7 linked regions of the Rattus norvegicus genome follow. The main gene of each other region encodes a partner of the protein of the gene in region 6 in a complex. Links are inferred from orthologs where the notes say so. Each region holds a gene or a part of one and is shown on either strand. Other genes may lie near its edges. The genes, in order: Med21, Med7, Med19, Med16, Med18, Med23 and Med26.

Region 1 (2,231 bases), on a different chromosome or scaffold from region 6:
GTGCCCACCATAGCATGCACACAAGAGATCAGAGGATCTGGAGTAATTCTCTCCTTCCATTATTTGGGTTCTGGGTATCAAACTTCGGTCATTAGACTTGGTGGCACGTGCCCTTATCTGCAAAGCTCTCATTGGCCCAGGAATGACCTTATCAGTGTAATTCATAAGCCGCATAATTTTACTCATGTCCAATAAAGATTGCTACCTCCTTAGAGGAAAGTGTGTGTGAGTTAAGCTGAAGTTTGCTTGTGTGACCTTAATAAGAGAAACATCTCATCTATGGATTCCTTTCCTTAAAGTACCAATGTGTTGTCCTAATAAATAAAATGACGTGTTATGCTAATTCCCAATTTGAAGTAATATTAAATGTATGAATAATATTGACATGCTAAAATTATACTTTCTCAATTGGAATTATCATATAGAAAGCTTAGCTGAGCTTTTCTAGCTTTATTAATCGTATAATTTCTCCTTACGAAAGTGTAAGATTCTGATCGTTTAGCTTGATGTTCTTCTTCAGAGTATGCCCAGCTTTTTGCAGCACTGATTGCACGAACAGCAAAAGATATTGATGTTTTGATTGATTCCTTACCCAGTGAAGAGTCTACAGCTGCTTTACAGGTAAAACTCTTCTGATAAATTACTAGTAGTAGAGAACTTTGAATTAGGAGGTTATGATATTCAGTTTAATATTACATTTTAAATGGGAGATATTTGAGTTTTTATTTGGTTTTGTGAGTTTTTTCTTTTCATTCCTTTTTTTTTCTTTTGTGGTCAAATCCAGAGTCTCACATACTAGGCAGACACTCTTGTCTCTGAGCTATAACCTCAGGCTTACTTGGGAGTATTGTTACTGTGAGCTAGCACAGCCTCTGGAAGACTGTGCTGTTGGGTTGTCCAATTTTGACTTAAAAGGTAAGGTCAGGTGTGCTTGCGGTGGTACCGATGTTGAGCAGTCTCATCTTCGGCAGACGCCCACCTGACTTTAACTAGCAAAGATGAGTGGAAATGGCATTCTGAACGTGGAACAAAACAGTGTCTTCAAGAAGTGCTAGCAGAGCAGCTATATATACACTCCTGAATGTTCTCATTGAAATTGGACTTAGGATAACTCAGACAGAAAAATTAGGTTGATAGAATGCCTGCCACAATGATTGGAAAGGCATTCTGATCTTAAATAAACACTTGTGTTTAGTGTCTGTCCAGTTAATCTCTGAATGCATTAACATTCATGTCCTCCAAAGGCTGCTAGCTTATATAAGCTAGAAGAAGAAAATCACGAAGCTGCTACGTGTCTAGAGGATGTTGTTTATCGGGGAGACATGCTTCTGGAGAAGATCCAAAGTGCACTTGCTGACATTGCACAGTCACAGCTGAAGACCAGAAGTGTTACCCATAGTCAGTCTCTCCCAGACTCATAGCATCAATGGCTGAGATGTGACGGAGAAGAGAACTGTTTGAATGGCATTAAGAATGCCGCATCAGATGGAAGCCCTACGGACAGCTGTAGAACATCATATGCTATGACGGTGTTGCCTTTTTAAGCTAGTTTTCATTGTTTGCTGTTTTCACTCTTGATAAGTAAAAGACTTTACAATTATAACGGAATCATCTTCAAACATCATTATGCCATCGTTTTTTATCTGACTAGAATTTTCAGGACAGATACTGTACTAAGGTTCATGATATAATTAAACAGATATACAATAAAGCTCTTTGCTGTTTTGTGTATGTGGTTTGTTTGTCCTTTTTTGTGCAGTGCGGAGATGGAACCCAGATCTTGTGCATCTTGTGTATGCTAGGTAAGCGCTTTGCCACTGGGCCATATTTCCCCAGTTCTGACTTTTGTAGTACCATTGTAGCCATCCCACAGGTCAGAGGACCTCAAAGGCAGGGATGGGTTACATTTCAAGTTAGATAGGCGTCCTGCCCACCTCTCCAGAGGTGGCGCCGTGCTCATTTGTACTCCGAGCAGAAGTTTCTGAAAGTGTTTTAGAGAAAACAATTCGAGCAGACAGGAAAGTCATCTGTTCATTGGTGGGAAGCTTTCTCTTCCAAAATGTCACACATTCCAGTTTGTCTCTACCCTTGTCTTGACAAAGACATTTTTACTCTCCATGGAATTCCAGTGTTACTGTGAGAGATTTTTATCCTAAACCATGTTTAAATAATTTTAACCTACATCCACCATCTTCTTAATTTACATGTCTTCATAGTGAATTACATTTCTT
Region 2 (4,142 bases), on a different chromosome or scaffold from region 6:
AGCCTGATCAACACAAGTACAATGTTCAGTACAAGTTCGTTGTGGGTTCAGACCATATTATCTTCAAGCTTCCTGATGGGAAGTATAAAAATTGAGAACTTGTTGGCCAGCAAAGACAACAGGTGTGCTAATTTCACCCTAGGGAGACAGGTAATCCTGGCAAAGGAGGAAGAAGTGAAGAGAAAAATAAGGCAAAGCTATGGCTTTATGAAGATCTGATTAGTCCCTTGTTAGACTAATGGGATAGAGCAGGGAAGGTGCAGAAAGTTGCACACAAAGATGGCCTTCCAAAAAGGTCTGCCCTCTGTCTACTTTGTGATAGCATGAGTTATGGTTCCAACATTCAAGTATAAATTCCCATTGTACAATTTCTGCAACTGACAGTGGACAATGGCAGGCTCCTTTTTACTGTAGAATCACCACTTACACATACTTAGTCACGGACTCCCAGGTACCATGTCTTCTTTACAATACCTGCTCTGGTCCTACGGCCTGCTGTGTCCTGGCTCTTAACTCTATTCACCCAAGACTACAGGTTGTTGCTTAACTGAATCAGGCTTTAAAATGCTGAATCGCCATGTTCACTGCAGTGAGGATAACAGAAGTGAGAACCATGAGACATGTCTAGTGTCTAACTACACACCCAAGTCGAGGTGTGCAAACCTTGTCTATGAAGGAAATTCTGAGAACACGGAACAGCCTCACTTGGAAATCCTACGATTATTTTTAATCTCTTCGAGCCCTTCTCACCTGTTAAAGAGCACTCATATGATCGTTCAGTAAGATCTGTTCTGCTTGTTTAAAAAATGATGTTAGCATTAAGGACTCACACATTGTAGATAACCTGACAAATGTAAATAAAGCATTCAAAGTGGGAAAACAAGCAGCAGAGTCCACTGCGGGTTTGCAGAGGACTTTATTTACTGTTATTTTTAAACAATTTTTTAAACTGCCCTAAGCATGATGGTTGTTGAGTCCTAATGATTGAGAAGCATGATAGCTGTGAGTTCAAGGCCCATTTGAACTACATGGGCCAGCCTGTGCTAAAGATCCATCTTTAAAAACCAAGAAAATATTTTAAAAATATATAAAATTGGGAGTAAGATATGGTAGTGGTCTGCAAGATATTAGACGAGTGAGGAAGCAAGCATGATCAAAACACACATGTTTGTGTGTGTGTATAAAATTCTCAAAGAACAAACATATATTCTGAAAACTAAGAGAAAAGGGTCTGTATTGGGGGGCTTATACATGGTATATGATATACTTCTTTTTCATGCCTGACTCCTTTTGGTAGGCATACGTTGAAACCTACTCTGGGAAAGAACAGTTATATACAAAGTCATATGCCTTATTTATTTCTCTTTTCCATAATCAAACTACATATGGTGTCTATCAATCTCACTTTGCTTTCTACTGTACAGTGATTTCCAAAACCAAACACTTAAGATTCTCTATACGTCTTGACAAAAATCACTTGTTAAATTTCATACTTCTAGAATTTTCCAAGGTTTCTGAGGGAAGCCTCATCTTACAAACATCTTATAGTACAGTTTTATTGACAATTGGCATTTTAACATCTTTTCTACATAAATTTAACACCTAAGTCCCAACACTGCAACATATATGGTCAAAATACCCTCTGCTTTTCCAATTTGAGTTTAAGTACATTATACAATGAGAAGATTCTTGAGCGCTTTTTCACACTGAGATTCAAGGTAACAGGGGAAAGTAACATACAGGTTCCGTACACCTGGAATACATTAAATCTGAGGGAAGTCACTTCAAATTCTTCAGGTCGTCCAACTCAACTATTTCAGGGTATATATACCTAAGATACTAGTGTCTATTTGCAGTCACATCAAGTCAACACCCAGCCTAAATTTCGTCCCCTGAGGGCTTTTGAAGATGAGATCTGCGCTTCCCTTAGCCACACCCATACTAAATTCCCATTTCCCAAAGGTTTCTAATAAGTGACCGGCATCCTCACTTCTATCTTCCTAACGGCACAACTATTCCCAATTTGATTTTAGAAACAAGAAGCCAGTTTCCAATGTGCAGAAGTGGGTAAAATGTATAACGGGAATTTGTACTCCGTTTTTGTTTTGTTTTGTTTGGCTGTTTCGTTTTGTTGCGCGGAAGTGCAAACCCCGATAACTCAAGCATCCCGTTTTAGAGCCTGCCACCTTACAAAAACCGCCCTCACCGGTTTAAACTGAACTTTTCAGAGCCGCTGGATGTCCTCACTTGCTAACACTAACAAAATTCAGTTTCTAGCATTTGCTTGGGGGGCGGGGGGGGGGAGTGGTCGCAAGCTCAGACACTTGGCTCACTTGGTCCCTGTCCCTCGTAAAGTCTGGTACAGGATAAGATCCGCCCGAGGCTCTCCCTCCCCTCCCCCAGCCTCCGCGCTCCCAGGTGGCTACTATCATTTTACTAATGCCGACAGGGCAGGCTAAGGCCACGACACTTTAAAAGCCCGTGGCGTGGGGACGAGAACTCGGACCTCCCAACCTCCGGTCCGGCTCGTCGTCCGGTCCGCGAGACGCCCGGAGCGAGCCGCACTCCGCGCACCTTCGGCCAGCCGCCTGCCTCAGGCCCCGGGGAGGCTCCGCTGAGGGACGTGGGAGGAAGGCGAGCCCGGGCTTCCCAGGTTGTCCCGCGCCGGACCTCGGCGTGGCGCCGGGAAAGACGCAACCGCGGGGGCGGAGAGACAGACTCTGGCTGCGGTCGCCAAACGCCGCGCCGGCTCACCTCAGCTCTAGCTTTTCCCGTAGCGACTTTTTCCTCAGCGCAGCGGAAGCACAAGTTCCGGTTGCCTTCTCAGGAAGAAGCCTCTGACGCGGGCCTTTAATTGGCTACGAAGCCTGTCCTATAGCAGGTCCTACTCCCGCCCTAAAGATACTGCGCATGCGCACTCCCGCGTCTCCCGCTTCTCCCGGGAAAAGATCTCTTGTCTATCTTCTTGGTCAGGTCAGGAGAGTGTTTCTTCATACTTCTTGTTAGTAAAAGAAAGTACTCTCTAGTAATTCGACTCCTCGCCGCCCACCCCCTTTATATAAGACTCTTAAAATTAAATATTTGCCTTATATAAGTCAGAAAATACAGATAAGCAATATTTAAAAATATCAATGCTAACCTTATCATCAAAAAAAATTTTTTTAAAGCAAGTTGTACTCCATGATATATTCATACATACATGGGGATATTTGGGAACATGATTAAGACTAACATCCTACACCTTCATTTTCCCCCTTCCGTTCACTTTTATTTTCATTTAGGAATTCAAAGATGTATATGACAATTCTTCCACAAACCGACAAGTAAAAAAAAAAATTAATGTAATTTTTAAAATTAGAAGGAGTGGGCAATTTCACTGTGTAGCCCAGGCTACACATGGTTTCAAATGTCTCTTCCGAGCCTCAGGAAAGCCAGAGGTTCAGAAATGAGCCATCAGGACCAGCAAGAAAACTTTCCATTTAGGCCTTCCCCCACCACACATATAAAAGAATTGTTAACAGATGTCCTAACTCATGGGAGTCTTAAGAACGCTTGTTGCAAATTAAAAGTGAGATAAGACTGTTCTGCTAAAACAGCTCTGCTTCAGAGACAAGAATGTCCCAGTTTCTTCCTTTAAATATGTGAAGAATTGCAGGCATAAAAGCGAAAGAACAGTCTACTCATCACCAACTTCCACAGCTATATGCTCCCCATCAGTTCGCCTCTAGTCCAGTATGAGCCTCTCAAAGGTAAGGGCTCTTCGCTTTTTCCCATGCCCATAGCATTACTATCTTACTGAAAGTGTACCAGGGGTTGTTACACTGATCAAATGAGTGTGTGTTCACACATGGATATATATGTCATATAACTTATTAGAGTGGCTTACAAGATGCAGTTCAACTAGTCCAACAATGGCTGCCTCCAACCTGAAAGGCTGAGAATCCCGTAGCTGCTCAGTCTAAGGGGCTGGATGTCTCAGCAGACCCCACCTGGCGTTGGAGGCCTGGAGGATTTTTAGAGAGCTGCTGCTCTTCAGTCTGTGTTGGAATCCCAAAAAAGTTTGGATCTAATACTGGCAAAGGAATGACACAGCAGTGGGACAGATGAAGTTGCCAGTGAGAATGAGAGCAAGCAACGAAAGA
Region 3 (3,937 bases), on a different chromosome or scaffold from region 6:
TCACTAGGTAGACCAAGTTAGCCTTGAACTGAGAGATCAACCTGCCTCTTGATTTATCCTGAAAGATTTATTTTTATCCTATTTGGTGTGTGTGCGTGTGTGTGTGTGCGCGTGCGCGTGTGTGTGTGTTGTGTTGTGTGGATGTATGCCACATATTATTTGAGTGCCTATGGAGGTCAGTAGAGGGTGTTGGGATCCCTGGAGCTGGAGTTACATACAATTGTGAGGCTCCCATATGGATTATGGGAACCAAGCTTGGTCCTTTGGACAACATCAAATGTCCTTAACTGCATGACCTTAGAGTCATCTTTACAGTTCCAATGGACCTTTTCAAGGCAAGGTCTCATGTAGCCAGCAATGACCTTGGGCTCCTGATCTTCCTGTGTACATCTCCCAAGGGCTGGGATTATAGAAATATACCATCAAGCCCGGTTTGTCAAGTATGGAGAATGAATATAGAGGTCTTTATGCATGCTAAGCATGTACTCTTCCAACTAAACTACATCCCTAGCCTTCCTAATCAAATTTTATTACAACTTAACTTTGGAGCCTGATCAACTACTAATCTTCCTGCAAAATTTCTAATGTATCCAGATAGATCTACGTATCCTCTGGGTAGAAAACAGCAACAAAACTGTACCACTATTTCCTTTGAGAAAATAACTTTCTAATTTTGTTTGCCTATATAAATTCTTCAGAGTTCAGTTCAAATGACATCTTATTATTGCTGTCATTTTGGCTAACACATTTTGAAAACCATCAGGTAGTTTTAAACACTGCTTCCTGTGTGAAGCATGACTATAAAGTAGTAAACAGACACCCACAAAGATACAAGCACCATCCTTAAACCATGTATTATGGATCTCAAAAAGTAAGCTACGTAAAAACCCGGCTTAATAATCTCCCCTTCTCAGAATCCCACCATACCCAGCGTTTGCCTCGGAGATTCAGTATTTATCAACTGATTTATATATAAATGGCATAATCAGAACAGGAAATGCAAAAGATAAACTGCTGGAAGAAGCTGGGCATGGTGGCACATACCTGAAGGCTGAGATTAAGTGGATCTCTGTGAGTTCAAGGCCAGCCAAGTCTACAGTGAATTTGAGACAAGCCAGGGCTACATAGTGAGGCAAAACAACTAAAATAAGGAAAAAGAGAACTTCTGGAAGACACCTGTCATTAAAGCACATATAGTTATTTCTTTATGCTTCAGTCCTCAACTATAAAATATAATACCTATCTATCTAAAAGGGCTACATATTGTACACACCTCACTGATGTGAACTTTAAACTACTGTGCTAATAGCTAATTGGGATAACTGAACTTCTATTTTTCTTTTTTTGAAGCAGGATCTCATGTCCTCTAGGCTGGGCTGGAACTCCAGAACCTTCTGCCTTCACCTCCTGAGTGCTGGTATATAGTACCACAAGTTCCCTAAGATTTAACATATCCAGAACACCTCTTGATTTTTAGCTCTTCAAATTTTTTCTTTCCATAACTTCCTACTCTCAGACTACTATAACCTTTGTACAGAACACCCACAATTCCTCTGTTTATATTTAGTTCTTTATTTCTGTAGGCTTCACCTTTATCATGTATCCTGTATTCATTTGCTTCTCTACTGCTAAGTCCTGGTCCAAACCATTCTCTTTTAGGAACACTGATTTCTGATTACCCCATTTTCACTTATGTTTCTGCTGAATATCTTTTTAAAAAAAAAAATCACTAAATTAGCTCATTCCCCCCCCCCCCCATGTTGAAATTGACTTCAACTTGAACTTTAAACCTACATTGCCTTATAAAGGCCTCTACCTATTTTCCATCAGTACTGGAATTGTTCCTTTCCTTGAATTCAATGTGTCTTCTGCCCCTCAGATATTCTAAGCACCCCCCCCCCCATCTTCCCCTCCAAAACAGGTCTCCTGATGTAGTTTCTTCTATCTAGTATCTTCTCTCTGTCCAAGGACCGATGGCTTTGTTTATTCTTGAATGTTACCTACTCAGAGATGATTCTGTGAACACGCGCCTTATGCATGGCAGTCAAGAGTTCTACCACTGAGCCACGCCCCCCCCCAATTTTCCCGAATAACTAACTTTATGAATGTAAGAATTGATTCAATTCTAGTCCTTTCTTTGAGCGGGTTAATCTCCAAGTCCCTGACGAGGAAGGCAACTTGCTATAAACCAACAAGTTTGTGACAGACTTTAAACTAAAATCTTACTGTCTCCAGAAACGTTAAATCAGGTCTCCCGAGTTCCAAACAATGGCTCGTTTTCATAGAGTCACAAACAGCGGTTAGAGAACCCGGATCACAGAACTTCTCGCTAGAGGTAGTCCCAGATATTCACACCCAACCCAAACCCACCCCGGGAAATCAAGTTATCTTTTAGAGTTGTGAATCGCCAAAGGGCTTCTGACACTGTTGCCCACTGGCCACCCGTAGCCCTGTTATCTTACACCTTGCGCTGCAGGATGCTAGCCACAACGGTCACCTAAACTATTATCTGATTGGCTACTTTTGGCCCACTACTCACCTGGCAATTCCCGCATAAGGTAGAAGGGACCGCTTCCAGCCGTGGACTTATCCGCTCCCACGGGGGCCGAGGTCGCGGTCGAAGGTGGAGCCGTGCCTGGACCACCTCCCGGAGGAGGAGGGGGTGGCGGCGGAGGCTTTCCAGGCCCGAACCCTAGTGCGCTTGGTGGCGGTGGGGGGTCAGTTTGAGCTCCGAACAGGGCTGTGAAGTTCTCCATAGCACTCGCCGCTCTTGGTTACCCGGGATCTGGCGTTAATTACTTTCATTGGACAGCACTTTCACAGGGTACCACCCTCTTGGTTTAACAGCTTCCCATCATTGGATACGCTAAGCTCCGCCCACCATCTTCCGGCAACTTACTTCCTTTGCCCTGAGAGATTGTTCAGGTAGTGTTTCACAGACTAATAGCCAATAAAATGACTCAGGTAGAAAAGCGACAATTATGAGGACCAATAGACTATCTAATTCATTTTCCGATCTATTATAGCACCCAATAAGAGATCTACATCCGGGTCTGGAGGCGTTGCATCTGATATTTGGCCCAATAGAAGCCTTGCTGTTGGGGGCGGAGGACGACGATTTGGGGAGCGGGAGTGAGCCTGCAAGAGTGTAGGCAGGGAAGATGGCTGTCCTCGCGCCTCTGATTGCCTTGGTGTACTCGGTGCCGCGGCTTTCTCGATGGCTGGCCAGACCTTATTGCCTTCTGTCTGCCCTGCTTTCCATTGCTTTCCTCCTCGTGAGGAAGCTGCCGCCGATTTGCAACGGTCTCCCCACGCAGCGCGAAGATGGCAACCCGTGTGACTTTGACTGGGTGAGCGCCCCCTGCCTTAGTAGCTGTCGACCTTGACCATCCATCCCTGCCCTGCAGGTGCATGTGAAGATGGGAGGGCGGGTTTCGAGTGTAGCTTACACACTTGAGTGGAGAGCCTAGGCCGTTATCTAGTCCTTACCTTCGTGTTAAAGATGGAGAAACAGATTCCAGGGTTTCCATCACAGATGAACAATATTCTTCTGTGATTCCAAGTTCCTTGGGGCGCCACTGACGAAGACTAGGCCCGTGGTAGAAATACCATTTAAATTTTTCTAATTTTTAACGAAGTGATCACAGTGTAGTTAGGCGATTTTTCAAGGTAACACAGCGTTCACTAAGTGCTGTCTAACCTTAATCAATTCTCTGATAGACCGGCAGACATAGGTCACTGACTCAACAAAATAAATGACTTTGGTGGAAAAATCGTCTGCTCTGGGCATAACAACTGTGCGCACTATCTTCCTGAGGTGGGATAGGAAAACAGGGAAGGTTACAAAAATACGAGGTGGGGGGAAGCCCATCAACCATCTAAGAAGCAATATTTAAGAACAGTTAACATTTACCGTGAAGGTTGTGGACATAGAGCT
Region 4 (3,500 bases), on a different chromosome or scaffold from region 6:
TCATTGTGGGTTCTTTACCATGTTTGCTATAGCAAATCATCCTTTCCCCCGTGTCTGCTTTAGCGAGACATCCTTTCTCCTGTTTGCTCCATCCAAACATCATTTGCCATAACTAACTTTCCAAAGAACTAGAAGTTCCCACTTGAGGACCCTACACCTTTCTCTGACACCCACAGACACCTCAACCCAGGGTAAATGCAACTCATCTTTTGCTGTCGTCGTTCTGGTTTTTAAGACAGGGTTTCTCAGTGTAGCCCAGGCTGTCCTAGAACTTGCTCTGTAGACTGGGCTACATTCAAACTCAGAGATCTGCCTGCCTCTACCTCTTGAGTGATAGGATTAAAGGTGTGTGCCACCACCACCCAGCTATAAATCTTTAAAAAATTAATGTGAAAATTGTATTAGCTGGGCAGTGATGACCCACCCCAGTACTCTACCCAGGAGGCAGAGCAAGTGGATCTCTGAGTTTGAGACCAGCCCAGTCTACAGAGCAAGTTCTAGGGCAGCAAGGGCTACACAGAGAAAACAGTAACAAAAAAGTTTTATTGAGCCGGTTATGATAGTGATAGTGCATGCCTGTCATCCCAGAATTTGGAAGGCTGAGGCAAGACGATAACTTTGAGTCTAGCCTGGGCTATGTACACTGTCTCAAACAAACAAGGTATGTTTTGTATGTAAATTACATCAATTTGGAATTAGAGACTGTAAAGAGGAGTAGCTGGCACTGAGGCAGCACTCCACAGAAAATACACACTGCCCCCTGCACCACAGTCAGTGCCATAGCCATCTTGCTGCCTCTGCTGCAGAGACAAAGGCTGTGAGGTCACTACAGAGAAACTTAAAGTACTCCTATAGTCCCCTGAGAAAAACGCTAATGCTTGCATACTATAGAAGAGGAGACTGAGGTCAGGGTACCCCCCATTCATGCAGTGCTCTTGCTACATTGTTGCTCTTTGGGGGTTGGTCACAGAAGGCAGCCCCCAAGAAGCTGAGCAAGCCCTTCCTCCTATTTCCCCTTCTCAGTCTGGTGCCTCCAGCTTCGGAGAAAAGTTCTCCCGGGTGAAATTCTCCCCGTCTCTCACGCTGTTTGGTGGCAAGCCAATGGAGGGTTGGATTGCGGTGACAGTCAGCGGCCTGGTCACTGTGTCCCTCCTGAAGCCCAGTGGGCAGGTGCTGACGTCCACGGAGAGCCTGTGCCGGCTGCGTGGCCGAGTGGCACTGGCCGACATCGCCTTCACAGGCGGTGGGAACATCGTTGTGGCCGCTGCGGACGGCAGCAGTGCATCGCCCGTGAAGTTCTACAAGGTGTGCGTGAGCGTGGTGAGCGAGAAGTGCCGCATCGACACGGAGATCCTGCCCTCGCTGTTTATGCGCTGCACCACCGACCCCAACCGCAAGGACCGGTTCCCCGCCATCACACACCTCAAGTTCCTGGCGAGAGACATGTCTGAGCAGGTGAGCTGTGGTGTCGTCTTCAGCTCAGCCAGCCATGTCCTGTGGTGGGGTCAGAATCTGACGGACCTGGTGGGAGCAGGGAAGGTTCCTGCTGGTCGCCCAGGGAGCGTCAGCGTCCTTTGGCTAGGGGTGCCTTCCTCCGTCTGCCTCTTGCCCTCCTGCCTCACCTTCCATGGTGAAACCAGGTCTGAAGGATGCAGGTAAATCCCCTTTCCTAAGTTCCAGCTACCACAGAAGGTGGCCTATCTGGGGACATGTCTTGTTGTGACCTGTCCACTGGTCAAAGGGTTGTCCGGCTTTGTAAAATCACACAGCCGCAAACCTCTTGAAAGCCATGGCACATTTGTGCTGACAGTCCTGTGTGGAGCCATCACCAGAGGATACACGGGAGGTGGGTGCTCCAGGAGACACCCCCTCACTGAGCCCCACCCTCAGGTGCTCCTGTGTGCATCCAGCCAGACCAGCAGCCTAGTGGAGTGCTGGTCCCTTCGGAAAGAGGGCCTTCCTGTGAACAACATCTTCCAGCAGATCTCGCCTGTGGGTGAGTCGTTCAGGGTTCCCTCCTGAGGGAAGCTCAGGGCTTTACTCATGGCTATTGGGGTTCAGACAGGGTCTCATTCTGTGTCCCTGGCTGGCCTTGAATGCACAGAACTCCACCTGCCTCTGCGATGAGAATTCTGGGATTTGGGATTCTTTAAAAACACAAACACGGAACTGTTATCTTGTTGTAAGCCCAGGAGTGAGATGTGGGGCTGCTTCAGATGTCCACAGCAGCTGACTATGATTTATGCTGACTATGATATGCTCTAGCAGAGGCGTGGTTTTGTTAGCTGCAGGTAATTTCTAAGATTGGGTGACATTTGGAATTCTGGGAACTTTTCAGAGGGTGCATACATGCCAGGGCTCTGAGAGCTGGGGTTGGTTGTGGTTTGTTAGCAGTTGTGCTCAAAGAAGAAACAAGAAAGGAAAGAAATTCCGTTCAAGGCTCTCTTTCTCTCTCACCTCTCTCGTTTCTCTCCTATCTAGTGATAGGACTGAAATGGGAGTGGGGGTGGCAAAAAGAAGAACCCACAAAGTAGCAAAGGCTGGCTACATGCCTCTGCCTCCTGAGCCCTAGTATTAAAGGTGTGGCCTGTTAATTTACCTTCCACAGTCCCGGGGGCTGTTGGCTTCTTGCCTAGAGTAGGAAACTAAGGCTCCAGAGCCCTGGTAAGGACAGCCTGGGAATGAACACACACTACACACACACACACACACACACACACACACACACACACACTACACACACACACTCATACACACACACTACACACACACACACTCATACACTACACACACACTACACTCACACACTCACACACTACACACACACACACTCATACACTACACACACACCATACACACACCACACACACACACTCATACACTACACACACACCATACACACACACACTCACACACTACCTACACACACACACTCACACACTACACACACACCACACACTACACATACACACACACACACACACACACACACACACACACACAATGCATAGGCCCTGGGGCAGGGGGCCAGCAACCAAGGGCTGAGCCTTGGAGGGGCACCCACAACTAAGGGAGGCATTTTACTTTGAAAGCCATGGAATCATCTAGAAATCCAGGTCAGAGAGAAGGCTGGAGTTGAGTGGAGTGGAGCATCTTTACCAAGACCACGCAGGACAGCACTCCACAGGACACTTGCTTACAAATGGTGACTGCCCAGGGGATAGCTACTGAGGCTGCCCCGCAGTGCCCTGGCTCAGCCCTGCATAACCTTCCCCACAATACAGAAAGAAGTGAGGCTGGAGGGAGGGTGCGGACCCTGTTGCTGTGGAGATTGCTAGAGGACCTAAGTGGCCTCAAGAGGCCCGTGCTGCAGTTACAGTAAACTGCCCTTTGTGGCCAGCAAGTAATTAAATGTGAATAGCATCCCCGCTGTGTCTCCTGCAGATGGCTGTGAGTCACCAGACAATCTGGGCTCACTGGTGATAGTGGGCAGCCCCACA
Region 5 (4,263 bases), on a different chromosome or scaffold from region 6:
GAGGCCCATACGGAAATGAATGAAAAGCGAAATAACAAGGCTAGATCTCAGAGACAGTCCAGTCAGCATGCACAGTACATGTATGCAGTTAGACTCAGGACGGAAGGGCAGAAGGTCCCAACTGTCCATGGCCATCCAGCCAGTTAGAGGGATGTTAGAGCCAGTCAGTCCAGGGGTCGGGGAGGTGGCTCAGTAGCTAAGAGCACTGGACCTGGGCTCAGTTTCCACCAGCACCCAAACCGTGGCTCACAATCACCCACAATTCCTTTCCAGGGAACTGGACACACTTGTCTGACCTCTGACTCACAAAGACTCATACAAATTTAAAATCCTAGGGCTGGAGAGATGGCTCAGCGGTTAAGGGTGCTGACTGCTCTTCCAGAGGTCCTGAGTTCAAATCCCAGCAACCGCATGGTGGCTCACAACCATCTGTAATGGGATCCGATGTGTCTGAAGACAGCGACAGTGTATACATAAAATAAATAAATCTTAAAAAAAAAAAGATTTAAAATCCTAAAAGAAAAATCTTAATTATATTTGAAAAAAAAAAAATAAGTTGGCCTGGGCTACGTGATACTCCTGTTTCCAAACAACAAAAACAACCTAAATCGTGTCATAGGTTATCAAGGACATAATGCTATGAGAAATAAGTCAGTCACAAAACCAGGGACCTCACTCATGTGGGGCATCTAAGTTGCCAAGGAAGGAAATACAGTGGAAAGGTAACTGTTAAGAGCTAGGAGAGGAGCTGGAGAGATGGCTCAGTGGTTAAAAGCACTGACTGCCCTTCCAGAGGTCCTGAGTTCAAATCCCAGTAACCACATGGTGGCTCACAACCATCTGTAATGGGATCCGATGCCCTCTTCTGGTGTGTCTGAAGACAGCTACAGTGTGCTTATATACATAAAATAAATAAATAAATCTTAAAAAAAATAAAAGAGCAGAAAAAAAAAAGAAAAAAATAAATAAAAGAGCTGGGAGAGAGGGAGACTCAGTATGAGTTTTAATTTTTTTTTTAATTTTATTATTTCTTTTTTAAATTTCACGTGTGGAAGTGTTTTGTCTTCCAGTTTATCTGTAAACCACCTGTGTGCCTGAATCCATGGAGACCAGAATAGGGCATCACATCAACTCCTCTGCAGCTGGAGTTACACACAGTTGTGAGCTGCCGTGAGGGTGCTGGGAATTGAACCAAGGACTTCTGTAAGGGTCTCTCCTCGCCCTGAGTTTTACTTTTTCAAGATGAAAGAGAATAAATGAAAGCCAGGTGCTGGTGGCCCACACCTGTGATGCCAGCACCTGGGAGACAGAGCAGGTGGACCTCGTAGTTCTGAGTTCCAGGCCAGCCTGGTCTACAGAGCAAGTTCTACTACAGTGAGGGTTACACGAAGAAAACCCTGCTTAGAGAAACAAAGTGAGAGTGTGTGTGTGTGTGTGTGTGTGTGTGTGTGAGAGAGAGAGAGAGAGAGAGAGAGAGAGAGAGAGAAAGAAGAGGAGAGAAGGGAGGTGGGAGGTGGGAGGGGAGGGGAGGGGAGAGGAAGGGGGAGGGAGGGAATGAATGAGAGAGAGTAAACAAGTGTAGCACACCTGTGATCACAGGCACTTGAGGCCTGACTGGTCTACAGAATGAGTTTCTGGCCACTGAGCCATCTTCCCACCCAACCTCTTCTAAACGCAATTACTGGGTGACAGGAACCGTGCAGTTGCCTTTATGTAAGTCATCTTGACTTGCTTTAACAAGAAAAGGAACGAAAACTTGGTAATGCATGCTCCGTGGCTGACTTACCCTGCAGGAGGTACTCCATCATGTTAATGGTGCCCCCAGTGACTGGCATCATGGTGACTGGAGGTGCCTCCATGATGCCTCTAATTAGGTTCAAGACGACAGAACTGCAAACAGATCTTCCAACCGGGGAAGCACGGGATACACCTGGAAGAGTCACATTTGTCCATCCACTGTTTTCTGTGGCACTGGCCTTGAAACCAAAGCTCATTCATTCATAACTTTGAATATCTGCTTATACAGCCGGTTCCAAGAACGGGTGACGCAGAAACAAGAGAGGTCTGGCCCTGGTGATCCAGAATGACCATCTAGTCTCAAGTTCTGAACCTTCTAAAAGTTTTTCTATGTCACCTTGAGGCAGCTATGCAACCTCTTGCTCCTTTAAAATAACCCCGGGGCATATAACCACACAGACCCTCCCCCACCCCCATGCGGCTCAAATGAAAGAACCGACATACATATTCAAAAAAGGTGACGTCACTTTGGTCTACGCTGAGAGGCCTCCTTTCCAAACATAAAGAAATAAAAGCCGGTCGTGTTAGGGGAACATCTGTAATCTCAACACTCGGGGACAGAGTTAGGAAGACAACTGCGGCTTCGGGCTAGACTGGTCTATATAGCAAATCCCGGCTAACTAGGGCATCACAGTGAGACTGTCTCAAAAAAACCAAAAGACCTAAGAACCTTGTCTACCCTTCGTTCTATGCAGAGGCCATGGAGACTCAGTGAGAGCACACGCCGGGATCAGACTAGAACTGGTTCTGCCTTTTTGAAAACGCCTTTACAAACGAGCCAGGCGGGAAACATGAAGTTAAAGTGACTGCACCGGTCCTCCCACTCGGGGATCCGGGACACGTGTGCACTTACACTAGCAACACGTCTCCGTTCGCGCTACAGATCCATGCAAAGCTGGACTTAAATCCACGCGTGCACACCCGCAATCCGCACCCCCAAATCCCTCCTGCACAGATCCAGAGAAACCGCCAAACATTCCCTTCAGCACTTCCGGTAGGAAGCTGACGGACAGGAAACTTCTTCGCTACCGCCCCGAAAAGTAAGGGTGCCGAGAGGGCAAGGAAGGCGCCCGCCTTCTGGCACCGGTGTGCAAGAGCGCACGCGCAGAGTGCGGGTCCGCTGCGGTGTTGGGGTCCTAGTCTAGAGTGGTACACTGGAAGGTTACTGTAGGCCTTTACGTCATAGGACAGCTCTAGGAAACGGTTTTTGATTTTTTTGTTTGTTTTTTTTTCAGCTTCGGCGACCTGGATGTTTTGATCAGATCTCTTGAAACTGATTGGATACAATATTTAAATTTTGAACTCAGCCACTGGGGGGAGCGAGGAGGGAAAGAGTCGCAGTGAAAAAGATCAGAAGGGCAGGGGGGTGGGGTGGGGGCTGGCAGTGAGCGGGATGTAAAGTAAGTTAAAAATTAAATTAAATTTAAAAAAAGAAGGGAAGTATGTTTCAAATCGGAAACGCTAAGCACAGCGTTGTGTATTTATAGACCCCAGCAGGAACAATATTTTCTTGTGTGCTTTCAAGGGTCTGGAGAAACAGCTCAGTGCTAGAGCCTTGCCTGGTATGTGCAAGGCCATAAGTTTAATACAGAACAACAGCAAACTCGTTCGATTTTCCATGCATACCCACAACTTTAAATACGTGGGACCAGGCACAGTCCGAATCTGAGAACCTCAGGAGGCTGCGGTAAGGATCTCTCCAGCAGAGCCATTCAACACTTAAACAATATTTTGAGGGTTTTTTTCCAAAAATTAATTAATTAGGGCTAGAGAGATGGCTGAGCAGTTAAGAGCCCTTGCTGCTCTTGCAGAGGTCCCCAATCCCTACATGGTGGCTAACAATCATTTATAATTCCCCTTCCAGGAGATCTGTTACCTCTTCTGACCACATCACTCACTGCATCCCTGTGGTACACATACATACACCCTTGCAAAACACTCGTAACACAAAATATAAAATAACTAGGGGGCCGGGGAGATGGCTCAGCAGTTAAGAGCACTTGCTGTTCCTCAGAGGACTTGGGTTCAGTCCCTAACACCCATATCAGGTGTCTCACAACTACCTGTAACTCTAGTTCCATGGGAACCGACACCCTCATGTGGCATCCATGGGCATCTATACAGGACATATACGGTGTACATACATTTAGGCACACATATACATTAGATAGATAGGTAGTAGGTAGATAGATAGATCGATACATAGATAGAAGGTTGATTGATAGATTGATTGGTAGATAATTAGATAGAAGGTTGATTGATTGATTGGTAGGTAGATAGGTAGGTAGGTAGAGAGATACGTAGCTGGATGGATAAATGGATGGCTAGATAGAGACTCTAAATTCAACAAGTTCTTCTTGAACTCTGTACATGTGCCAAACACATAACGGACATAGAGTGAGGCACCCTTAATCCTCCAGAACCCCTCACCCCATAACATTTCCGCAAAGGCCGTCTACCTCAGGC
Region 6 (3,500 bases):
CAGAGTGTTTCACCTTACCTATGGGCGCTCTGGTAGAGACCATTTATGGCAATGGAATTATGAGAGTGCCTCTCCCCGGGACAAGCTGTCTGGCCTCAGCATCAGTAACTCCCTTACCAATGAACCTCCTGGATTCTCTGACAGTGCATGCCAAGATGAGGTGTGTTCCTTTCTTTATCTGGGAATTGATAAAGAAAAAAATGCGTACATATGTGTGTATGGTCTGGGCATTTAAGAGTGACTTCTTCACAGAAATGAATGCTGTTAACTGTAGAAGCTATAGAGTATGCAGAGGAGTGTGAGGCAGATGAGGACTTTATCCTTTTCACAAGAAAATGGAAAAACATCCTTGCATCTTTTTTTCAATGAGTAAATTTATGATTTTATATATTGTGCACAAAAATGTGTTGTATCTTGTTTTCCTCCCATAATAAACATCTTTTAACGTGATTTCCCCCCAAAACTGTTGTGGATTGCTACAACCAAGTTCCTCATGAAGCCTGAGCGGCCTCTCTGCATTGCTGGGAGTCGAGGGCTTGGTGGCTCCTTCCTATTTAAGAGATGTTGATGAAGGCTGCCTTACAGCACTCAGAGCGATGTCTGTAGTTGCGTTTGCCTTCAGTCTTTTTCTTACATTTTTTACTAAACAGTTTTTTGAAAGGAGAATTGCTGTGTCCCGAAATTTAAAGTGTTAAGGCTTTTGCCTTATTGAATTGTGCACAAGAACACTTTTAGAGTTATGTTTGTTTCCTGGAAGGCAGAAAAACCTCCGTTGGTACTGGACCTCAGGTGCCCAGGGTAGCCAGGCTGGAGCTGTGGTGTGGCCTGGTACAGCATGCTGAGAAGCAGGAGTGAGTGCACTGGAGGCTGGCGTGTGGAGGCACACAGCACAGCGGTAGGGTCTTATCTTGAGCTCACAGTTCGGTTGGTGAGTGGAGTAGGATGCTGTCTATCCTAGCTGCTCACAGTGATTCCTTGAGAAGGACTAGGCAATCCAAAAATGTCTGCTCTCAAGTGTTAAGTTCTGACGCAAACCTAAGACAGCACTGTATACAGGCCAAAGAAAACTGGCCTGTAGCTCCCCAGACACAGTGTCAGCTCTACAAAAGCCATGCTTTTTTACTCTCAGACAGTACACAGAGTGTCACTTCACTGGCAGATGTGACACATTTGAGCACAGCCCTGCTAGAAGCAAGCACGTGGGTCTTAGTAATAATTTATTAAATGATTTTGTGATGTATATGATAATGTATGGTGAATGTGATACATGTCGCTCTTCAAGGGTACTTAGTTACCTGTTTGAGCGACGCTAGCTAAAAGCACTCAGTCGTGCTCTCAGGGTTTGTGTGCAGGGCTTGCTTTGTCCTGAGCAGAAGGATCCCTGTGCACAGCCCAGCTACTGCCCCAGCCCTGAAGTCCTGTAGAAAGCACAGCGTTTTCCAGTTGTTCAGACGTCACTGCCAAGTGTCTGATACAGCTTAAGCCGGTCAAGTGAGCCAAGTCTGTCGGAGCCTTTGCGTTTCAGATCTGTAGGTATTTGCCACTGAGAAGAACAACTTCCTTATAGGCATGGGCTCTCTCATCTTCTTCTTTCCTCCTCAGCCTTATTCACAGCATTGCAACCAGAGTGATAAAACTGGCTCATACAAAATCCAGTGTCGCATTGGCTCCAGCCCTGGTGGAAACTTACAGTCGTTTACTGGTCTACATGGAAATAGAATCTTTGGGCATCAAAGGATTTATCAGTAAGACAAACGTCACTGCTGTTTCTCATGATTAACAAGTCAGTAATTCAGGGAACGGTCGTCCTCGTGCTGAGGACGCTGCAGGGAGGCCAGCCTGTCCAGACAGGGAAAAGCAGAGGATGGCAGATGCGCTGGGACAGACATGGGTGCGCGACAGGCCTCCCTCAGTGTCTGAGGAGTGAGGGAGCTGGGTGTAAGGAGCAGGCAAGGTAAGGGAACAAGGCTGCTGCTCAGAAGCCCCAGCAGGACGGGTACTCTCCCTGCACGGGTCTGGCCACAGGGAAGGAGCTGTCATCCAGTGCAGAGGATAACATCTGTTAGTTCAGGGATTCTGAGTGATAGGTACTTCCCGACTGGGAACACTTTTCTAACTCATTTCACCAGAAGTGAATCCAACTTTCTTTGGATAGAAGAAAGAATGAACAAGGAAAAACATTAGGTTTTTTGTTCTGGTCTAGGTTTTGACTTTTTCGAGATAGTGTCTCCTGTTGTCCAGTCTAGGCTGGCCTCTGACTCCTTATGTAAGAGAGTCTGGTTCTGAACTCTTGTCTCTTGCCTCTTGCCTCTGCCTCCTGAGTGCTAGAATTGTGTGCCCTGCTGTGGCTTGGCTGACTTGGCTGGCTGGCTGGCTTGCTCCCTCTCCCTCTCCTCCTTTTCCCCCTCCCCCTCCACTCTCCCTCTCTTCATCTCCCTCCCTCTCTCTGTCCCTCCATCCCTCCCTCCCTTTCTTTTTTTGGTGTTAAAAGGTGAGTCTGTTTTAGTTACACTAGTTGCAATGGTGTACACCTGTAGTCTCAGCTGAAGAGATTGAAGTAAGAGAATTACTTGAATGTGAAAGTTCACTGCCAGCCTGGGTAATGGAGCCCTTGGGTTCAATTGCCAGCACTAACTATCTACCCATCGACCTACTTATCTGTCTGTCTGTCTGTCTGTCTATCTATCTATCTATCTATCTATCTATCTATCTATCTACCTATCTATCTATCTAAAAATGAATTTCATACTCAGACGTCAGAAACCTTTGACTTTCTATAAAAATATCCAAAGGTAACTGGAGACGTGAAGCAGACCAGAATGGCTTTCATGGTTTTGATTGGTTGCTTGGTTTGGTTTTATTTTTGTGTGGTTGCTTTCATTTTATTTTTCCACATTAACTGGAGCCTGGCATGTTAAACTCTGGAAGGGAAGGATAAACGCAGTGCGTATTTAGGCTCTGCATTTTTTACCCCTACAAGTGGAAATATGTATATACGTGTGTGTCTGTGTTTGTAGTCGTAGTTTCACATACGTCCTGAGTGACAGTCTTCAGATATATACAGGGAGGTCCTTTTACTAACTGGTACCGGAATTCTGCCTGTGGTAGGTCAGCTCCTGCCCACTGTCTTCAAGTCCCATGCCTGGGGCATCCTGCACACGCTGCTGGAGATGTTCAGCCACCGGATGCACCACATTCAGCCACATTACCGAGTTCAGCTCCTGAGCCATCTCCACACCCTGGCTGCAGTTGCACAAACCAACCAGAACCAGCTCCATCTGTGGTGAGTGAGTAGCCTGCAGGCTGCCTCCCCTGAGGTTTAGCCCGCCCATGCTTGGAAGTGGGGATCTTAATCTTCCCCACCCCCACTTTTTTCTTATTTGCCATAAAATTTAAATTCTGCTTCTAAGATACTATAATTACAGTGAAAGATTGGAATCCAAGTTTTTAAAAGAAATTGGATTTGCATATGTGTCAAGTCCTGGTTAAAGCATCATTTT
Region 7 (4,136 bases), on a different chromosome or scaffold from region 6:
TGTCCCCGTTTTGTATTTTTTCCATGAACATCCTAAATATGTGTCAATTACCAAGTGGTGGAGCTCATAACTGGGCAGATCAGAGCAAGAGCAGAGATCCCTGCACCAACATGCGGCTCTTACCTGGGCCCTGAACAATCACAGAGACAATGCAAATGGCCGGGCACCCCTCAGCAAGAAATGGAGGACAGTGCTCCAGGCTGATTCTACAAAGAGATTCTGCAAAGCTAGCCCCTAGAACATATACCTAGTTGTTTTTGTGGATAGTCACTGACACATTGCATCTAGGGAAACACTCCCCTCCTCACTCAGAGATAAGTTCTCAACTCCAGCCACAACAAGGTCTCCTATCACTACAGCCCTTTGAGATACACACTCCAAGCAACTTACTCACAGGCCAATGAGCACTTAGGACCAAGGGAAGATTCAAGAAACTAAAGTTGGAGGCCAAGCATGGTGGCACATACCTTTAATCCCAGCATTTGGGATTAAAGCAGGTAAAAGCAGACAGGTTCTGTGAGGACACCCTGGTTTACATACATAGTGACTTCCAGAGACAGTCTCAGAAAAAAGACACAAACTAAAATTTGGGCCCTCTATCTTCCTTCTTCTATCCCCAAAGGGTCTTTTAGTCAGACCCTTACCTAGCACTTGGACCCCACCTGATCTACAACATCATGACTACCTGTCAAAGCACTTGCTGATCCCAACACTCTCACATGCAAGCAGTCAGGATCTCTGAGAAGATCTCAGCAAGGAGTTACACAGGTGTAAGATTTACAATGTGGAAGAGAGGAGCAGTGATAGTGCAAGCATTTAATCCCAGCACTCAGAAGGAAAAGGCAGGAGAATCTCTGAGGCCAGCAGCATGGTCAAAGAGCAAGTTCTAGGATAGCCAGACCTACACAGAAGAGGAACCCTTCTCGAAAAACAACATCAAAAAGATTACACTATACACTATAGCTTCAGCAAAGATGCAAAAGCCATCAAGGCTATGTTTTCCTATCACTTATTTTTACCTTTTAATATCCTAATATATCAATCATGTGATTAGTCAGCTATTACCAATCACTGGCAAAAAACAAAACAAAACAAAAAACCCTTAAACCCGCCCCCCAAAAAAGAAAGGTTTTCTAGAAGATTTTTATCTAGCCTGTCTCTATTCCACCACAAAAAAAAAAAAAAAGTCTACAATATTTACTAAATTACTATCGACGTGATCCTAAAGACTAGGAAGAGAATAATTTTGAATCTGGCAAGTAGATTCTCATAGAAACTAGAACATCTCTATTTCTACCAAGACCACACAAACAATGTGAATTATTCTGAACACACAATACAGCACATTGCTACAAGTAACTAGCCAAGCATAGGCAAGGGAACCCAAAAAGGTTCAAACCTCTGTTACCTGGTCCAAGATGATTTTTTTTCTTCCATCCTGGGCATATTAAAAAGTGATCTCAAAAGCCACTTCCTGGTTTCCCAGCAAACACTTCATATCTGAATGCCTGTGCATCTTCCCATGGCCCTACTCCTGACAGCAACAAGGACACCCGCCCCCTGCACTGCCAACAAACCTTTGGAAAAAATACAAGAACAAGTAAAATTAGTCTACACTCACACAGGAAGAAAAAAGGCGTCCTACTGCTCACAGGACTCTTGACAGAGGAAAGTGTGATCCCTTACAATTAAATCTTGACAGCCTAGAGTCCAAAGCACCTCAGGTGGAGCAAGAGAGATGGAAAGAGGACCGGAAGATAGGGATAAGAGAACAATCTACTGTGATCGGCAGTATTTCAGTACTAAAATCCCAGGCTTTAGCTACTGGTCAGACGCGCAATGGAGCATTTAGGCCAAGAGAGGTGACAGGAAGGGTCCCACTCTCTGCAGAGTCGTCTTTTCTAGGAAGCGACCCACTATCAGAAGAGAGGATACTCTCCAGGCATCACAGGAAGACAGACTGATGGCAGAACAGGCCTAGGGTTCCCTACGAATCCAAGAAGGGGATTCGCTAGAAGACCGAGGGGGAGTAAAGGCCAAGACTCCAGAGACGCGGGCTACCCGAGTCATCGCGGAGACACCAGTTGCTTTCTACCTTGTCCCCCGGCAGGGAGACCTTTCCGGGGGGTTCTCAGTTCCCGGGGTTGGGGTGAGGCAAGAAGGGCACGGTGGGGAGCACCAAGGGCAGCCGGGCTGGGACAACCGAGGAGAACCAGCTCTCATCAAAGCTCCGAACGATCCCTCAGTCCAGGCCGCGTGAAGCCTCGGCCTCAGGTACCCTCAGCTGCCGGGGTACCCGCCTTGCCTTCGGCCTCCGGACCCAGGAGAACGAGACACCGAGATGGCAGCGGCCGTGGCGGGCAGATCACCGCCCGGAGAGAACCCCTGGCAGGGGCGCGTCGGAGGGGGAGGGTCCCGACACATGCGGCCTCGGTCCCCGATCGCGCGGCAGTCACTTACGTTGCTCTGGGAGTCGATGGCCTGTAGCAGCCGGTCCCTCATCTGCTGCGGAGACGCCGGAGCCGCTGTCATTGCCTGGGCGAAGCGGGGGGGAGCGGCCGGGCCGGCGGGCGGGCAGGCTGAGGAGGGGGGACGCAGGTCAGTCACTCGCCGGCCTCCGGGAACGGAGCCGCATGTTCCCCGCGGCGCCAGAGGAGGTCGAGGCGCTCGGGGAGATGGCGGAGGACGGAGGAAAGCGGAGGGGACCGGAGCTCAGGCCCCGGACCGCCGCCGCCACCGCCGAGCAAGGAGGAGGAGGAGCCGACGGAGAAGCCTCCGCCACTACCGCCGCCGCCGCCGCCTCGAGAACCAAACTCCAGTGAGCTGCCCCCGCGCTGAGCACTCTGGGTAACCCGCGCCGCACGCAGCGTCGGCGCCACGCTGAGGAGGTTGGGAGATGGGGGCGGGTGGAGACGCCGGGTTTGGGAGGGGCCGGCTTGTGAGCCCCGCCCATTGATTCTGCGCACGCGCACGCATGCGCACTTATCAGGTCCTGCCGCCGGGTTCTAAGGCCGGATCCAGAGAGCCGTTGGGAGACGGTTGGGCGTGGCAACGGACGCTATCCGAAGGTCACGCCCACTCCGGACTAGGGGGCGGGGCTTCCTAACGGAAGCTCACATGCCAAGTCCTGGAACACCGGCTCTTCCTGCTAACTGCTTTGGGGTTGCGGAATGGTAAGACCCTCCACCGGATGAGGACCTCTAGCTTTGAGGAATCAGAGGATTGGAGCGGCCATAGGGACACTAAGAAGGGCAGCGGTTGTCTGCGTTGAGACCCGTGCGGCGAGTAGCTCGGAGAATCTAGGCGCAGCCGTCGCCGCTGCAGAGGCCCCAGGCGCGGATCTGCAGGGCAGTGAGTGTCCCCATGTGACCCGCGCGCTGCTGGGACCTAAGGGCACGTATGGGAGCTGCCGCCTCCGCCGAGGGCTCGAGTCTGCAAGGCATGCGCGACGCTGACACCTTGGCTGTGCATCCACGAGGGGCTGGAACTCAAGAAGAAGCACCGCTCTTTTTTTTTTTTTTTTAATTCTTTTTTTCGGAGCTGGGGACCGAACCCAGGGCCTTGCGTTGAAGCACCGCTCTTGTAGCCCTCCTGAGAGGCGAACTGGAGGTGGCCAGTCTTTGTCTGCACAACAGGATGCGGAACCATCGCTCAGCATCGTCCCCTCCGCATTCGGAGCGGACGGAACGATCCCTGCTTTGCACCCCAGCCACTGGAAAACAGGAACGCCTCACCGAGGAGGAAGGGAAGCGCCAAGGTCACCGTGAGTTTTAGGTCAAACCAAGAAACGAAGGATATCAAGTATAAGGGCTGTGGTCTCCGGCAGGTGGAGTGGGAGGGCGGGCTCCGAGTTTAGCGCACTGTATTACAGTGGCTTCGGGAGAAATAACTTTCGTTTTGTGTCGTAACCTTAAAAATCCAGACATGAAACGGAAGGGAAACAGGTAATGAAAATCACATGTACTCCTGAGAGCTGCGGGACACCTGTTAATTTTAATTTGTTATACTTCTAGGGAGTGCTGGAGGGAGGTGGGGAACCAGGCATTTTTTTCCAACGCTCGGGAGGCTGGAGGGTTTCTGGAGTTCAGGCCAGCTTGGTCTACACAGTGAGTTCCAGACTAGTTCTCTCCCACCCA

The links.
Region 1: Med23 (region 6) and Med21 share a complex: the UniProt entries of both Homo sapiens proteins name them as parts of the mediator complex. The link is inferred for Rattus norvegicus from reciprocal best matches to the Homo sapiens genes MED23 and MED21.
Region 2: Med23 (region 6) and Med7 share a complex: the UniProt entries of both Homo sapiens proteins name them as parts of the mediator complex. The link is inferred for Rattus norvegicus from reciprocal best matches to the Homo sapiens genes MED23 and MED7.
Region 3: Med23 (region 6) and Med19 share a complex: the UniProt entries of both Homo sapiens proteins name them as parts of the mediator complex. The link is inferred for Rattus norvegicus from reciprocal best matches to the Homo sapiens genes MED23 and MED19.
Region 4: Med23 (region 6) and Med16 share a complex: the UniProt entries of both Homo sapiens proteins name them as parts of the mediator complex. The link is inferred for Rattus norvegicus from reciprocal best matches to the Homo sapiens genes MED23 and MED16.
Region 5: Med23 (region 6) and Med18 share a complex: the UniProt entries of both Homo sapiens proteins name them as parts of the mediator complex. The link is inferred for Rattus norvegicus from reciprocal best matches to the Homo sapiens genes MED23 and MED18.
Region 7: Med23 (region 6) and Med26 share a complex: the UniProt entries of both Homo sapiens proteins name them as parts of the mediator complex. The link is inferred for Rattus norvegicus from reciprocal best matches to the Homo sapiens genes MED23 and MED26.

The regions. Positions count from the first base shown.
Region 1 is NC_086022.1:181,296,505-181,298,735, forward strand, and holds the end of Med21 (mediator of RNA polymerase II transcription subunit 21), read left to right. Parts: intron 1-520; coding exon 521-621; intron 622-1,244; coding exon 1,245-1,421; 3' UTR 1,422-1,731; downstream 1,732-2,231. UniProt on the Homo sapiens protein: Component of the Mediator complex, a coactivator involved in the regulated transcription of nearly all RNA polymerase II-dependent genes.
Region 2 is NC_086028.1:31,353,695-31,357,836, reverse strand, and holds the start of Med7 (mediator of RNA polymerase II transcription subunit 7), read right to left. Parts: upstream 2,801-4,142; 5' UTR 2,755-2,800; exon of another isoform or gene 2,207-2,754; intron 157-2,206; 5' UTR 1-156. UniProt on the Homo sapiens protein: Component of the Mediator complex, a coactivator involved in the regulated transcription of nearly all RNA polymerase II-dependent genes.
Region 3 is NC_086021.1:90,167,692-90,171,628, reverse strand, and holds the start of Med19 (mediator of RNA polymerase II transcription subunit 19), read right to left. Parts: upstream 2,801-3,937; 5' UTR 2,757-2,800; coding exon 2,540-2,756; exon of another isoform or gene 2,351-2,539; intron 1-2,350. Other genes in the region: Tmx2 (thioredoxin-related transmembrane protein 2 precursor), read left to right, coding at 3,162-3,350. UniProt on the Homo sapiens protein: Component of the Mediator complex, a coactivator involved in the regulated transcription of nearly all RNA polymerase II-dependent genes.
Region 4 is NC_086025.1:10,452,273-10,455,772, forward strand, and holds part of Med16 (mediator of RNA polymerase II transcription subunit 16), read left to right. Parts: intron 1-1,023; coding exon 1,024-1,455; intron 1,456-1,890; coding exon 1,891-1,996; intron 1,997-2,027; exon of another isoform or gene 2,028-3,500. UniProt on the Homo sapiens protein: Component of the Mediator complex, a coactivator involved in the regulated transcription of nearly all RNA polymerase II-dependent genes.
Region 5 is NC_086023.1:149,949,873-149,954,135, forward strand, and holds the start of Med18 (mediator of RNA polymerase II transcription subunit 18), read right to left. Parts: upstream 2,801-4,263; 5' UTR 2,651-2,800; intron 1,931-2,650; 5' UTR 1,860-1,930; coding exon 1,787-1,859; intron 1-1,786. UniProt on the Homo sapiens protein: Component of the Mediator complex, a coactivator involved in the regulated transcription of nearly all RNA polymerase II-dependent genes.
Region 6 is NC_086019.1:22,325,755-22,329,254, reverse strand, and holds part of Med23 (mediator of RNA polymerase II transcription subunit 23), read left to right. Parts: coding exon 1-160; intron 161-1,602; coding exon 1,603-1,745; intron 1,746-3,108; coding exon 3,109-3,283; intron 3,284-3,500. UniProt on the Homo sapiens protein: Required for transcriptional activation subsequent to the assembly of the pre-initiation complex. Component of the Mediator complex, a coactivator involved in the regulated transcription of nearly all RNA polymerase II-dependent genes.
Region 7 is NC_086034.1:17,332,434-17,336,569, reverse strand, and holds the start of Med26 (mediator of RNA polymerase II transcription subunit 26), read right to left. Parts: upstream 2,801-4,136; 5' UTR 2,533-2,800; coding exon 2,461-2,532; intron 2,437-2,460; exon of another isoform or gene 1-2,436. UniProt on the Homo sapiens protein: Component of the Mediator complex, a coactivator involved in the regulated transcription of nearly all RNA polymerase II-dependent genes.